Linked DNA regions of Arabidopsis thaliana. The protein of the gene in region 2 interacts with the protein of the main gene of each other region in a pairwise test. Each region holds a gene or a part of one and is shown on either strand. Other genes may lie near its edges.

Region 1 (5,285 bases), on a different chromosome or scaffold from region 2:
GTTTTTCTACACTTCAGTGTCCTCGTCCACGATGATAATTGGGTCACCTTGACGGATTGCGATTGTGGTCTTACTGTCTTAGTCTGCATGAATGCTTTGATTTTATGAATTTCCATGGACACCAACAATGTTTTTCATGCAATTTGCTTAATCAAGGATAATATGCTAAGAGTTCTATAATATGTATCTTTGTGACCAATTAAAAATGTGGTATGTATTTGGTTGAACCTAAGTGATCGTTACAAAACATCGAAAACATTTATTTTCTTTAAAACCTAAAATACATTTGATCTAGTGATAGCGAAGCGAATTGTAGAATAAGCGGATTAAATAATAGGGTGTGATTAGTTTTGAACAAGCGAAGTAGAATAATGTATAAAAGGTAAGAGTAGTTTTGAAAATGGATATTCTAAAAATGAAATTTCTCAAATATTCTACAAAAACTTATGTAAAAAATGTTTTTTTAACACTGGATGACAATTCTTTGAACCACACCACACCTAATTTTTTTTTTCTTCCTCGTTTTGAACGTAACAAAAATTATTTTGCATAACTCAACCTATAAAGAACCAACAAAAACAACCATTGTGTGAAACCCAAGAAAAAAAAAAATGCATTTCTTTGTTGACTCTTGGTTATCACAAAATGGTTCGTGTTGTTTGCTGTTTTGCAATTTACTATTGAGCTGTGACTTGAAATTTGATATGGTTTAATTCGAAGTTGTTTTGGTTTCTATTCGTACCAAAGACAAATACGATTATTTTTCCCAATTAACCTTATCATTAAAATGATCTTGAGATTGCATTGCCAAATCTATATAAATTTTTTTGATGCATAACAAAGCAATGGATTTCCATTATTAGTAATCCTTGATTCACAGATTTTGTCTTGAAAACATTGTTGGATGAGATTTCGTTTTGTGTTTTTCCTTGTGAAAACGTAATTGTTTTCGGTTATTATATTTCTTCTGTCAAATATATATGGTTCCTGATAATTGCTTCCATTGATTACCTACTTGTCGTCCGTACCCTACCACATTAATTGTTTTTCTTTTTATTATGTAAATGATTAACATAAAAAAAACTCCGGAAGCATAGGATTGGTTAATAAACCGGGTATCTGGCTGGCTTCACCGCGTACAATTTATTGAGCAAACAAAAAATAGAAGGAGAATGCATATACCAAGATACAATACTTGGAAAATGATGTGGAATTAGTTGTTCAAAGAATTCAATAATTCTCAACTTGATGGGTACCTTAGGGAGAGATACAATCCACAAACCAAAGATCACGGTAAATAGTAGTACTAGTATGTTTTTTCATATCTTTTGTTGGTCCCTTTGATTCTTTTTTACTTTTAAAGACAAAAAAATTAATGGCAGACAAGACAATGTGAATATACTTATGTAGTCGTGCTTGTTTTTATACAGTAGTAAGTATAAATTTGATTAGATAATTTTACTATATACATTATAATATTAATTTTACAAAATAAATTTGATTTATAGTTTTAAAAAAATTTTAGTTATAAAAACACCATAAAAATTAGATCTAAAAATTATTTTCATGAAATCGGATTTTTCCGAAACAATTTTACTGTGGATTAGAAAGTCGGAATTTGATTCCATCGATTTTTTATTTTTTTATTTTTTGCAAAAAAATCCGATCGAATTGAATATTTACTAGACTAATTTTTTTTGGCTGGACTAGTTTTTCTCTAAAATTAGTCAAACTTGAAAATATAGGCTAGTTTAGTCCGTATAAAATAAGTTCTAATTTGACATATTGTATCGAGTCATCCAAAATCATATAAAAAATTGTGTATAAAAATTTTAAAATTTTTTTTTTAAAAAAAAAAAGCAAAAAAGTTGACTTATATGGTAAATTTTTCTTAAAGATTCTAAAAATCATTAGTAAATTTTATTATTTTAAAAATGTTGACTTAATGATTATATTTTTAAATAAAAAACATAAGATGAATTTGGCTCTTTATTAGTTCTTCTTTTGATGGTTGGTAAGTGTTAACTGACTAACTGAGAAACAGAGTGACGAGAGAATTAAAGAGACACTTGCCAGAAGAACAAATCTCTCAAGTGGGACGGGACCCACCGCATGTCCCTTTCTTCATTCTCCTTCGTCTTCGTCTTCTTCGTCTTCGTCTTCGTCTTCACTTCCGCCATGAGAAAAACCTGCACACACGCCTGAAAAACCAAATCATCCTCATCATCTTCTGATCTAATGTCTACCGACACTATCCCTTCCCTCTCATCTCCACCGGCGCCGGAGTTTCCTTCCACCACACCAGACACGGCGACGTCACCAGCTCCGTCTCAGCCATCCATCATCGGACCTTCTTCGTTGGCTCCGTTTCCGGAGACAACAACAAACATTGATGGAGGCTCGAGAAATGTAGCATTAACTGGACTTATTACTGGAGTAGTTCTCGGAGCTACGTTTGTCCTACTCGGAGTTTGTATCTTTGTCTGTTTCTATAAAAGAAAGAAGAGGAAGTTAAAGAAGAAGAAGAAAGAAGATATCGAAGCTTCTATTAACAGAGACTCACTAGATCCCAAAGGTACTTTATTTAGGGTTTCTTTATTTCCAAAGACTCAATCTTTTTTTAATGATTATTCAATTCCTCTGTTTTTGTAGATGATAGCAATAATCTTCAGCAATGGAGTTCATCAGAGATTGGACAAAACTTGTTTACATATGAAGATTTGTCTAAAGCAACTAGTAACTTCTCCAACACTAACCTTCTTGGACAAGGTGGGTTTGGTTATGTTCATAGAGGAGTTCTTGTTGATGGAACTTTGGTTGCTATTAAGCAGCTTAAATCTGGAAGTGGACAAGGTGAACGAGAGTTTCAAGCTGAGATACAGACTATTAGTAGAGTTCATCATAGGCATCTTGTTTCTCTTCTTGGTTATTGTATCACTGGTGCTCAAAGATTGCTTGTTTATGAGTTTGTGCCTAATAAGACTCTCGAATTTCATTTACACGGTGAGTTTTTTTTAAAAGACTTGTTTTCAGTTATGCTTGCGTGAATTCCCGCAGTTTTGTTTGAATTATGGTGGTTGTTTTGTAGAGAAAGAGAGACCGGTAATGGAGTGGTCAAAGAGGATGAAGATTGCTTTGGGTGCAGCTAAAGGATTGGCATACTTACATGAAGATTGTGAGTATAATGTTCTTGTCTTTGAGTATTGTACAACATTAGTTTCTGAAGTTTTTGTCAAGGAGATTTTGTTTTGTTTCAGGTAATCCTAAGACAATACACCGCGATGTCAAGGCTGCAAATATTCTAATTGACGATAGCTATGAGGCGAAGGTATTCTTGAACTTGTAAAACTATATAAAAATGTTGTTTAGACTGCACTACTAATAATGCTGAACTTGGTTCATCAGTTAGCAGATTTTGGACTTGCCAGGTCTTCTTTAGACACTGATACTCATGTCTCCACTCGGATTATGGGAACCTTCGGGTACGAAACACTCTTTTCTATACGCAACCATAACCATAATAAGTTCATAACATACTAACAATCTTTTAAACTTCTTTCTTGTGATGCAGTTACTTGGCTCCTGAATATGCTTCTTCAGGGAAACTTACTGAGAAATCAGATGTCTTCTCAATTGGAGTGGTGCTTCTTGAACTGATAACCGGACGCCGTCCTGTTGATAAATCACAGCCTTTTGCTGATGATGATAGCATCGTTGATTGGGTTGGTTATCTTGTTTCCCTTACCACCACTTTTAATAAGCTTTTAAACTTTACCTCATGCTCTAGGCAAAACCTCTGATGATACAAGCGTTAAACGATGGAAACTTTGACGGTCTTGTTGACCCGCGGTTAGAGAATGATTTTGATATCAACGAAATGACGAGAATGGTTGCTTGCGCTGCTGCTAGTGTCCGTCATTCAGCTAAACGTCGCCCAAAAATGAGCCAGGTACTAACTATCACATCAAAACCTTTTGGCAACATTCAATCTAACACTAGGATAAAAAATGAAACTTTGTGAGTTCAATGGTGTCATTGTTCTTTGGACAATTGCAGATAGTTCGAGCATTCGAAGGAAATATATCTATAGATGACCTAACAGAAGGAGCTGCCCCAGGACAAAGTACTATTTACAGCTTAGACGGGAGCTCAGATTATAGCTCAACACAATACAAAGAAGACTTGAAGAAATTCAAGAAAATGGCGTTCGAAAGCAAAACATTTGGTAGCAGCGAATGCAGTGGTTTGACTAGCGACAATGGTCAGAACCCATCAGGCTCGTCTAGTATCACCGAAGGCCAACGTACAACGCAGGAGATCGAACCGGAGAAGAATACCAAGGACACATGAACTTTAAACAGAGGATTCTTGGTAATAGTTAAGTCTTATCATTTTGGGGTAGGACCCGTAGGTTTAGGTGTAAAACACATTATTCATTAGACGCGCTTTCACTTTTAATTATTTCCATGTGTGGCTCTAATCGAAACTGTCATGAGCCTGATATTGCACGTGAATATTATTTGTTGGAGATTTTTTTGAGTTTGGTGTGAAGATATTAAATTAGATTCAATCAAAGACTTTATGATTCTTAATTATTTTTTGGCCGTGATATATTATTTGAGTGGAAAGTTATTTTTAACATCTTTGATTCTTTTTTTAAAGCATGTTTTCTTTTGTTATCCATGCAACTTTGAAGAAATTGTTTTTTTTTTTGCAAATGAAATCCCATATATATATTAACCGATTTTAGATTCAGAGAAATAATATTTTTATAAGCATGGTGTTTGATTTTTGGTTGAAGGAGTAATTATTAGTATAGTTAGTACATAAGTCAATGGTAATTAACAAAACATTTGATAAAGTAAACATAATTAGACCGTTTGAAGATTTCTTCAAGTATAATTAATTAATTTTTTAAATTGTTTATAATAAGATTAGTTAATGACTAATTAAAGGAGGGGCAATTTTGGGAAAATAAAAGATTTTAAAATAGTAACTTTGCTGTTATTTAGCTAATACAGTATATACTTTTTCTGTAAATCACACGAAGAAGAAGAACCAAAAGAGAGAGATTGTGAAAGAAGAAAACAGAGACAGTTTCTTCGCTGAAAAGAAAAACCAAATCAGCTAAATCCCTAAAAGTTTCCGTCAATGTCTTCTCGCCGGAGAGTTCTTCTCAAGGTTATCATTCTCGGTGATAGCGGGTAAATTCTCTCATCTCTTCAGATTTCAGATTTGATGTGGTTTTATTTGTTCATTGAATGATGAGATTTTGATTCTTTTTT
Region 2 (3,246 bases):
AATATAAAATAATCATGTGCACTAAATTTGAAATAATTAATGTGTATGGTAAACTAGATTAGAATTAGTTCTAGACTTCTAGTGGTCGAGATTTGTTCATAAGCTTTATGCTCGGACACGTGAGGAACATACCAAAATGTTCGAATCTATTATGCCATACACTTATTTTAATCATTTCTTCTCTATGATAGATTGCTCACCTAATTTATATATAATCTAAGAATATACTACTTAGCTTTAACGTATTTTATCCGATAACGAATTCATGATACCAAAAAAGTTCTAAAACAAAAGAGGCATCTTGTATTATTTATAGTATTTCTAACTAAAACACAACACTGATAACATTTAAATTGCTTTGTTCCGTTTAATTAGTAAACAAATGAAAAGCTGTCGCGTCGGTGGTTGGGTTTCATTCGGAAAGATTTAAAAGTAAAGCGCACGGATTTTAAGGTCGTTCAACATTTAAATTTTTTTTGAAAGTAAAATCATATATCAATGCAATGTGTAATCTTGTAACGTATAAACTAATGAGAGATACCTAAAGAAAAGAAGCCTCGCGCCTAAACAGAAACATAAGATTAAAATAAGTAATATAGAAGCATAAACTTAAGCAAGATTTTATTCCTCGTGAAAATATTACATTTTGTAATTTTATTTTCTCTAGTATTAAAAAAGGAACAACTAATTAACGGAAATACTTAAGGAATTAAGAACAGAGAGGTCTCATACTTAGTCAAGTTTGGTGAAGCTATCAAAGAGAATGTCTTCGTGTTGTCCGCCGACGACATAGTCAAGAATCCCTTCCGCCGCCACTTTTAAGCCTGCGCCTTCGCCTGGGATGATGGTAGACGAAACCGGGAGATCGGAGGTGCGTGCGAAGAAGAAAACGGCAGCGAGAAAGAGAGCCGTGGAGAGAAAAAGTGGCCAGAAGTAAGATAGAACGGTGAGGAAACCGGGAGAATAAGCGACGAGAGCTACGGTGAGGAGAGATAAAACAAAGGCAAACACGATTTGCAACTTGAACTTCAAAAGCTTCTCCCGGAACTCCATCTCCGATCACCGACAAAGATCTGTGAGTCTGTGACTGTTGTGTTAACACGAGAAAGATGGAGTGAAGAGAGATAGAGATATATCTAAAAGAGAGATAGTACAATGCTAACTCTCTCTCTGTCTTTCCTCTGAGTGTCTATACGTAAAGAAATAGGAAAGATTCTCTGTGACAAGGATAACGTCAAAATCTCAAGTTATTTTGTTTTTAAACGCGTTTGAAAATTATACTGTTTTTCTTCTAACGAAAATGATAATATATTTTTAAGATTTTTATGTTACTTTGTTCTGTGACTTGTATGAACATTTTTTTTTTTGTAAAGTTGTCGTAAAAGTCAAAGAATGAAACATTTTCTGACATAAATAGTAAATCGTACAAAGCTAAAATAATGATAAGAGAGATATTTTCAATTCAGTTATAATGTTGTCCGTTTTGCATGATTGAATTTTTAACTTTGGATTCAGGCCGACCAAAATATGGGCCTTTAAAAGCCCGATTTGGGTTGCTAACAGACGACTACTCTTTTGTTAGAACTTACACGAGCCGCCGTTTCTACTTTCTAGCTCTGGCAAAACGGCGAGGCATTTTCTTTAAACATATCAACATACAATTAGCAGCATCTCTACAAGTTTACACTTCTCTCATAAAACCCAACTCTACGAATAAAAGAGAAGGTGTTTTCATTTATCCTCTTCGTCTAATTGCATCCAAACTCTCAGCAGAGACAAATACAGCTTGCTTTTAACGTCACAAGGCTCGAACCAGACGAGCTGCAAATGCTCCATCTAGTGAGTGTTTCACTGGGTTTGATAAAAAGAAGCCTTGTGAGGTTACAAAACTCGACGGTACAAAACTGGTTACTGGATCTATGGTGAATTCCTGTGAAAGCAGAGAGACTATTTGTTAATATCAACATCTGAAGGAAAGCAAATGGATTATAAAGATTCTTACAGGATGTCTTAAGAGAAATGCTTCGACCCTTCCTTCATTTTCCTCGGGGTCTATGGAGCAAGTACTGTATACCAACACCCCACCGTGCTTCACCAGTCTTTGAGATTCAATCAAGAGTGTCACAGATAAAAGTATCAGATAAGTCGCATATTAGTGTTTCAGAATTAATCAAATGACTCATCAAAATGTATGTACAGAGTGCATACTTGGAGGCAGAATCAAGAAGCTCATCCTGCAGTTTAGTGAGCTCTAACATGTCCTCAAGTTTACGGTTCCAGCGCAAATCCGCTCTCTACAAAATACAGATTAATGGGAACAGGTTAATCAGATCAGGTCAATTCAACTAGCAATGTTAAATCTTGCTGGCGAAACAGTTAGATAAACTTTTCTCATGTTAACCTTGGAGAGGACGCCGAGTCCAGAACACGGGGCATCAAGCAAAACTTTGTCATATTGTACTTCATTGGTTTCCTAAAACACATTAAGTTGGAAGGAAGCATGTGAGTAGCTTACAAACTTGGAAACTTCAGATACTCAAATAATGTTAACTTACAGCAAAGACACGAAGATCAGAATGAATGGTTGTGATAAGTCCATCAACTTGGTGTGATTTTGCTGTCTCACCAAGAATTCTTAGCCGTCCTTCATTCACATCCATAGCATATATCATACCTATAATCGATTCGAGTTTGCCAGTTTGAGGATGGAATCAGTCAAGTATAGTAGAAAAGTTTCTCAAAATAGATAATTTAATTCAACATTAATGTACAATAGAGGAAAATAAGGGGTCTTTGTAATATTACCTTGGCCTTTCAAGCAAGATGCCATGAATAGGGTCTTTCCTCCAGGAGCAGCACATGCATCCATTATCCTCTCGCCTGGCTGAGGTTTCACCACTGAGACTATTAGTCCTGCAGTACCAGATGTGGGGAGATATTTAGATATCAAAAGAACAAAAGGATTTTGGATAAACTTAAATCTGTTAACAGCATGAAAAATTAATGAAGAGGAGACTGTATCTTTTCTCAGGAGCAGTCCAAATAATTACAAGACCAAACTGACCTGCACTCTCGTCCTGAACAGAACAGATGCCTTCTTTGAGTAAACCAGCTTGCACAACGGTCTGTTAAAGAAAAGGCCCATGATCAATTATGAAACTTATCAGTAAAAAAACTAGGATAAGAAAATTGCCAACAAGAGGACAATTCACGGTTACATTACAACACCTGCAAGCCTGTTTTGAT
Region 3 (5,012 bases), on a different chromosome or scaffold from region 2:
TATTTCTTTCTCCTTACAGGTGAATGGTTTTTGTATCTTCTTACAGGTGAATGGTCTTTGATCTTATTGTTGTCTTTTCCATTGTTTTGTTTCTGCAGTTTGACGTATTTTACTATTACTATCCAAGCCGATTGGATGAAGTCCTTTTTGTAGATGCTCCATTCATATTTCAGCCAATTTGGCAATTCACTAAACCGTTGGTGAAGCAATACGCTTCTCTGGTAACTTCCATACCATATTGCTATGTTTTTATGCATCGATTCTAATTGCTATATACTACATAGTGTGGTTATTCAGAGGACTGGACTAGATGGATTTTTATACTTTGCTTTATGTGAAGGTCAAGTTTTGCTCAGCAGAGACCGTCAGAAAGGAGTACTTTACTGAAGAAACATTACCATCAAATTTCCGGAGCTAAAGAGGTTTATAAGAGACCTTTAAGCACTTATTTCTTCTGTTGTTGTCGATTTATATGTGTATAGATAATTTTTAAGTATGGAGAAAAGGGATAACCCTTAATATTAAAAGAACTCATTGTAAAACCTCAAAAAAGGTATCAGTATACATAGAGATAAGAACAAACAACATGAAAAGCCTTCCTAAAATTAAGAAAAAAAAAAAAAAAGGTAAACAAAGCACAGAGAGAAATCATAGAGAAGCCCTGAGAAGTCAGAATTTGAGGGTTCCATGTTGAAGATCTTCAAATCAGGTTAGCCCTCTTCAGGAATCTGATAGTTCTGCAGTAATAAGGCCATACAGATTCAACAAAATCCAGGTATTTCTCAATGATCCATTCTTGGAACTGTTTCAGCTTCGTGCGTGTGAGCTCTTTGTAGTCTGTGTTCTTGATGGCCACCACTGGTTTAAACACTAGAGCTTTAACGTCGTCTTTGAGCTTTCCATCGGCAATGTATTGGTATGCTACAAGATAATACGATGGTAGGTTTCTTATCATTTTGATGGTTTGGTTGAAGCAGAAGGCGTAAAGGGAACATAGTCCTTGGAACATTTTTATATAAAGGGCGATGATCAAGGGGCCAACCACCCACATAGGGGATAATTCCTTTGTAACTTCAGCACCACAGATCGCGTAAACAGCTAGGAAAGCTGGAACACTACAAAAAAGGTCAAGGTGAAAGTATAGTCAATACACATACAAGGAACTTGGAAAAGAAAAAAGTGGCTGTGACACTCTTAAATCTTCCTAAGGACAGTTTTTGAATATAAGTTCACATCTAGTCGATTTTCCTCTATTGATAACTAACTCTAGACTACCTCATCAAGCAAAAGAAAAAGATGCTTTGATGCTGATACTTACAATAACAGCAACGGAATCTTGATAGCTGCGTCTAGACTCCAAAACCAGGACCAAACTGTATTTTTGGTACTCTGGAGACTTTCTGCTTTCCGAATTTCTGTTTCAGTTTCTTGCTTCGTCGTTTGTGGAACCTGTTCTCCTCCTAAAGTCTCGTCAATCACTTGAATAGGTGACTGTGTGCGCAACAATGTCAACCATTTCTTGAATAGTTTCTGAATAGCGGGTTGCCCTGTCATGGAATCCTCTGTTTCCGAGGTATATGAAAACGAAGTGTTCTGTGCCTTTGGGGAGCCATTCACATTATTTTCGTCATCATCTGAACGGTAAGATAGTTTGACAGAGTTATTAGTAACTTTCTTCCCACCCTCACTTCCTCCTGATTCATTATTTTGGATGCCACCTTTAAAAGATGTAACTCTGAAAGGTTTTGCTCTCAATCCACCGTTGCAAGGGGACCCTAAACTGCAAAAGAGTTTCACAACATATTATGATTCCGAGAATCAATTGCAAAGGGAATATATGAACTATAACTTTTTAGTATAGTTTCCTATATGTTCATACGTCTCAGTATCTAACAAGGAATCTCTTAGCTAACAGATAGGTCTCAGCGTATTAAGAGGCACATTTTAATCCACAATATAACTACGTATCTACCTTCCTAGAGTACAGTCGTACAGAGAGAGTAATGAGTCTCAAACTAAGTAGTACATAACCTAAGCAGGGATTTGTAAAGTGGGATACTCACCTAAAACAACATTTTTGCTTCAATCGTAAATGCTTATCTTTCCTCTCAACAAAGTGCACTGTCGTAACAGGTCTCTTTAAACACAAGCCTCTGGTCCATGTTGGCGAACTCCAAGGAGACAAGACATGTGAACCCTACATGAGAGAACAAGGGGGAGGTAAACATCTATATTTCTAGTGTGGCAAGTAAAAGAAGGCTTTACAAGAGTGAAACGGAAGGTACAACCATTTGCAGACATGACCATTACAGAGACACAAAACAAAGTAGAATTTAGGACTTTACAGATCTATGTCTAAGATACCTGCAATTTATGGGTTACCAACACCATTGTCTCTAGCTGAGCAGTGAATCATTTACTCAAAAGCCACAATCTGAGGCCGAAGAAAGGATTGAATAAGATGATTGTAACCTCCAAAGATGATGAAATCACAAGTAGCGACCATAAAACATTAAAAGGAAATTTCATATATAGATCACAACAAAAATTACTTGACAGGAGCGAAGCTGAGCAAAATCCGAAGTAAGAGAACCTCATTAGCGAGCTTAAATATCATAAATATTCAATTTTTCAATCCTCTCAGCTGCAAAACACTCTTATCCAACACCCAATTCCCCAAATCAGATTAAATTACACTAAACTATAAAATCTAAAGCGCAACCATAAGAAACCTGGAAAATGATAGGTTTTGTTCCCTTAACAAAAGTACCCCAAATCCATAAAATAGATTGCAAATTAGAAAACAGCTGCGAAGAAACTGAGAGGGAAAGAGCAGAAGAACGGACCTCAATCATGAGCTCGTTGCCTTGGGGTTTGTTCGTCCGTGAGAATACGAAAGAAAAGAACAGAATTTATCGAATAAGAGAAAGGGAAAGAACCCTAGTGAAAATCTTGAAGCTTTGAATAAAAAAAAGCAATAAGAAAGATTGGAATTTTAGAGGGAAGAAGAAATGGGGACGCGGATAGATAGAGAGGAGAGGAGATTGGAAGAGATAGGAGAGCAGATTGCAGGCAAGCGGTTAATCAAAGGTTTTTTAATACCAACACCTCTAAACGTCGTCGTTTCGGAGAAATTACTATTAAGTTTTTTTTTTTATTAAATCACAATTGATTTTCTATTTTAAATAGTCAAATAACGAGTTGAAGAACATAGTCTTAACAAAAAAAAAAATCATTTGAATAGAACTTTCACAACTTTTTTATCAACTTTTTTCAAGATAAAAAAGCTCTTTACATTTAGATTTACATGATGTTTTGTTTCTTCAAATCATACAATCAACACGAAAATAACATTTCTTATAATCATTTTTTTGAAAACCACGACGTGAAACATGTAATTACGTTCTCAAAACTTGAAGTCCTCTCTTTTATATCGAATATCTTTGAAGGAACCAAAACTTGAATCTCTAGTTTCACAATGAATTAACTAACAACTTGATTTCATTGGACTTAAAAGGGGTTGTGGTCGGATGTTTATCAACTTAGTCAAGCGATATATGGATCTTTATACCCTGAATTTTGATCCTAGGCTTCGGCCTAATGCTTAATCGGTTAATCCAATAGTAGACTTGCGAGAAATCATGCTAAATGGGCCCTTGAGAAAGAAAAAGAAGAAAAATCAAACCAAACCGAAATCTAAAATACAATTAGACTTGTAAACCAAATTGAACCGGGAAGATCATGTGGGAGTCTCGAGGCTGCCTGTTTCAGACAAGTTGCTGAATTGTTTAATTCACCGGGTAGCTGCCCGCTGACCAAACAGATTTCCTTCTTTTCTTAGAAAATTGCCTTTTTATATTATTTCCAATTTCTGCCTATTTCCATCGACCGACTAATAAACACCATTGACCTAATTTCCAAGCCTCTCTCTATATAAACCAAACCTCTTTTGCATATACCTTCATTATCTTTAGAAGCCTCCTTTGTCTGTCTCCTCCTTATTCGATATTTCTCTTCCATGTTTTTCGTTCTTTTTCTTTTTAAGTGGTAGAAGATATTCTCTAACTCCATAAACTTATGTGTTAGCTTGTTTACACGTTGGTGATAGTTGATTGGTCAGTTAGAGAATAGATCTGGATCTTGTTCTAAAAATGTTACAATCTTTCTAATATTTAGATTTGCAGCTGTTTATTTTTGGTGTTTTATTGAGGTTTCATTCCAATAGTCGTTACAGTTTTATTGTATTTCTTAGTCAAGATAGGAAGCTTTTTATATGAGATGGTATATTCGATATGAGAAATTTACACAGTAGTGTATACACTTACGTATGATGGTGCAAAAATCTTCCATCCGCATGTCATGTCGTTTTGGTAGGCAGAGCGGCCATCTTTTGCACATATTAATCTTTGAGTGCCTTTATCATGTTTGACCCTTCGGTATGTAAAAGATCGCTATTTCAATATCTCTTCAGTAATATTGAAATCGATTTTTTACCTTGGCATACAATTTTGAATTTTCTACTTAACAAATTGTTTTGAATTTTTTTTAATTGTTTTAGACTTTTAGGCATGTTTATTGTTGTACTTTGGTTTACCAATTGATTTCAAATAAAGGGTTGTATAAAGTTTTTTTTATTAATATCGATATCTTTTTGTGTTAAATATAATTACATTCCTGGTGCCTTGTGGAGAAGTTTTATGATATTTGATTGATATAGACAATATTTGGGGACTTGATTATTCCAAGACGTTGACAGTTTGAGGTAGTTAAAATGTTGGGACTTAGATGAAGTTTATGCAGCCACGTAAAAAGACATGAATTTGAACAGAACATTATGGACCTTTTTTTAGACAAGGAGACATTCGACCAAAAGTGATATGTACATACTATTTTTAGGAAGAAAATCCAATTACCACAAATAGATTAGCTTTTGACAACTTTTCAGTTACCCAATAATTCCAATTTCCAAATGTGTTGGGTAAATTGAGGCGTCACAAAGTACCTCAAATTTT

What was found.
Region 1: the proteins of AT3G13175 (region 2) and PERK15 interact in a protein complementation assay, tested with the Arabidopsis thaliana proteins (one large-scale study listed by BioGRID).
Region 3: the proteins of AT3G13175 (region 2) and EMB2759 interact in a protein complementation assay, tested with the Arabidopsis thaliana proteins (one large-scale study listed by BioGRID).

The regions. Positions count from the first base shown.
Region 1 is NC_003070.9:19,469,316-19,474,600, reverse strand, and holds PERK15 (Protein kinase superfamily protein), read left to right. Parts: upstream 1-2,018; 5' UTR 2,019-2,238; coding exon 2,239-2,575; intron 2,576-2,652; coding exon 2,653-3,003; intron 3,004-3,088; coding exon 3,089-3,175; intron 3,176-3,257; coding exon 3,258-3,328; intron 3,329-3,405; coding exon 3,406-3,482; intron 3,483-3,571; coding exon 3,572-3,722; coding exon of another isoform or gene 3,723-3,787; coding exon 3,788-3,949; intron 3,950-4,056; coding exon 4,057-4,350; 3' UTR 4,351-4,781; downstream 4,782-5,285. Other genes in the region: RABG3d (RAB GTPase homolog G3D), read left to right, coding at 5,152-5,204.
Region 2 is NC_003074.8:4,234,528-4,237,773, forward strand, and holds AT3G13175 (uncharacterized protein), read right to left. Parts: upstream 1,288-3,246; 5' UTR 1,054-1,287; coding exon 733-1,053; 3' UTR 548-732; downstream 1-547. Other genes in the region: AT3G13180 (NOL1/NOP2/sun family protein / antitermination NusB domain-containing protein), read right to left, coding at 1,799-1,930, 2,003-2,099, 2,209-2,294, 2,402-2,473, 2,556-2,674, 2,806-2,913, 3,065-3,125, 3,229-3,246.
Region 3 is NC_003076.8:25,290,488-25,295,499, reverse strand, and holds EMB2759 (embryo defective 2759), read right to left. Parts: upstream 3,097-5,012; 5' UTR 2,856-3,096; coding exon of another isoform or gene 2,847-2,855; intron 2,435-2,846; 5' UTR 2,392-2,434; coding exon 2,365-2,391; intron 2,198-2,364; coding exon 2,064-2,197; intron 2,050-2,063; exon of another isoform or gene 1,806-2,049; intron 1,781-1,805; coding exon 1,319-1,780; intron 1,116-1,318; coding exon 701-1,115; 3' UTR 505-700; downstream 1-504. Other genes in the region: AT5G63060 (Sec14p-like phosphatidylinositol transfer family protein), read left to right, coding at 99-221, 341-418.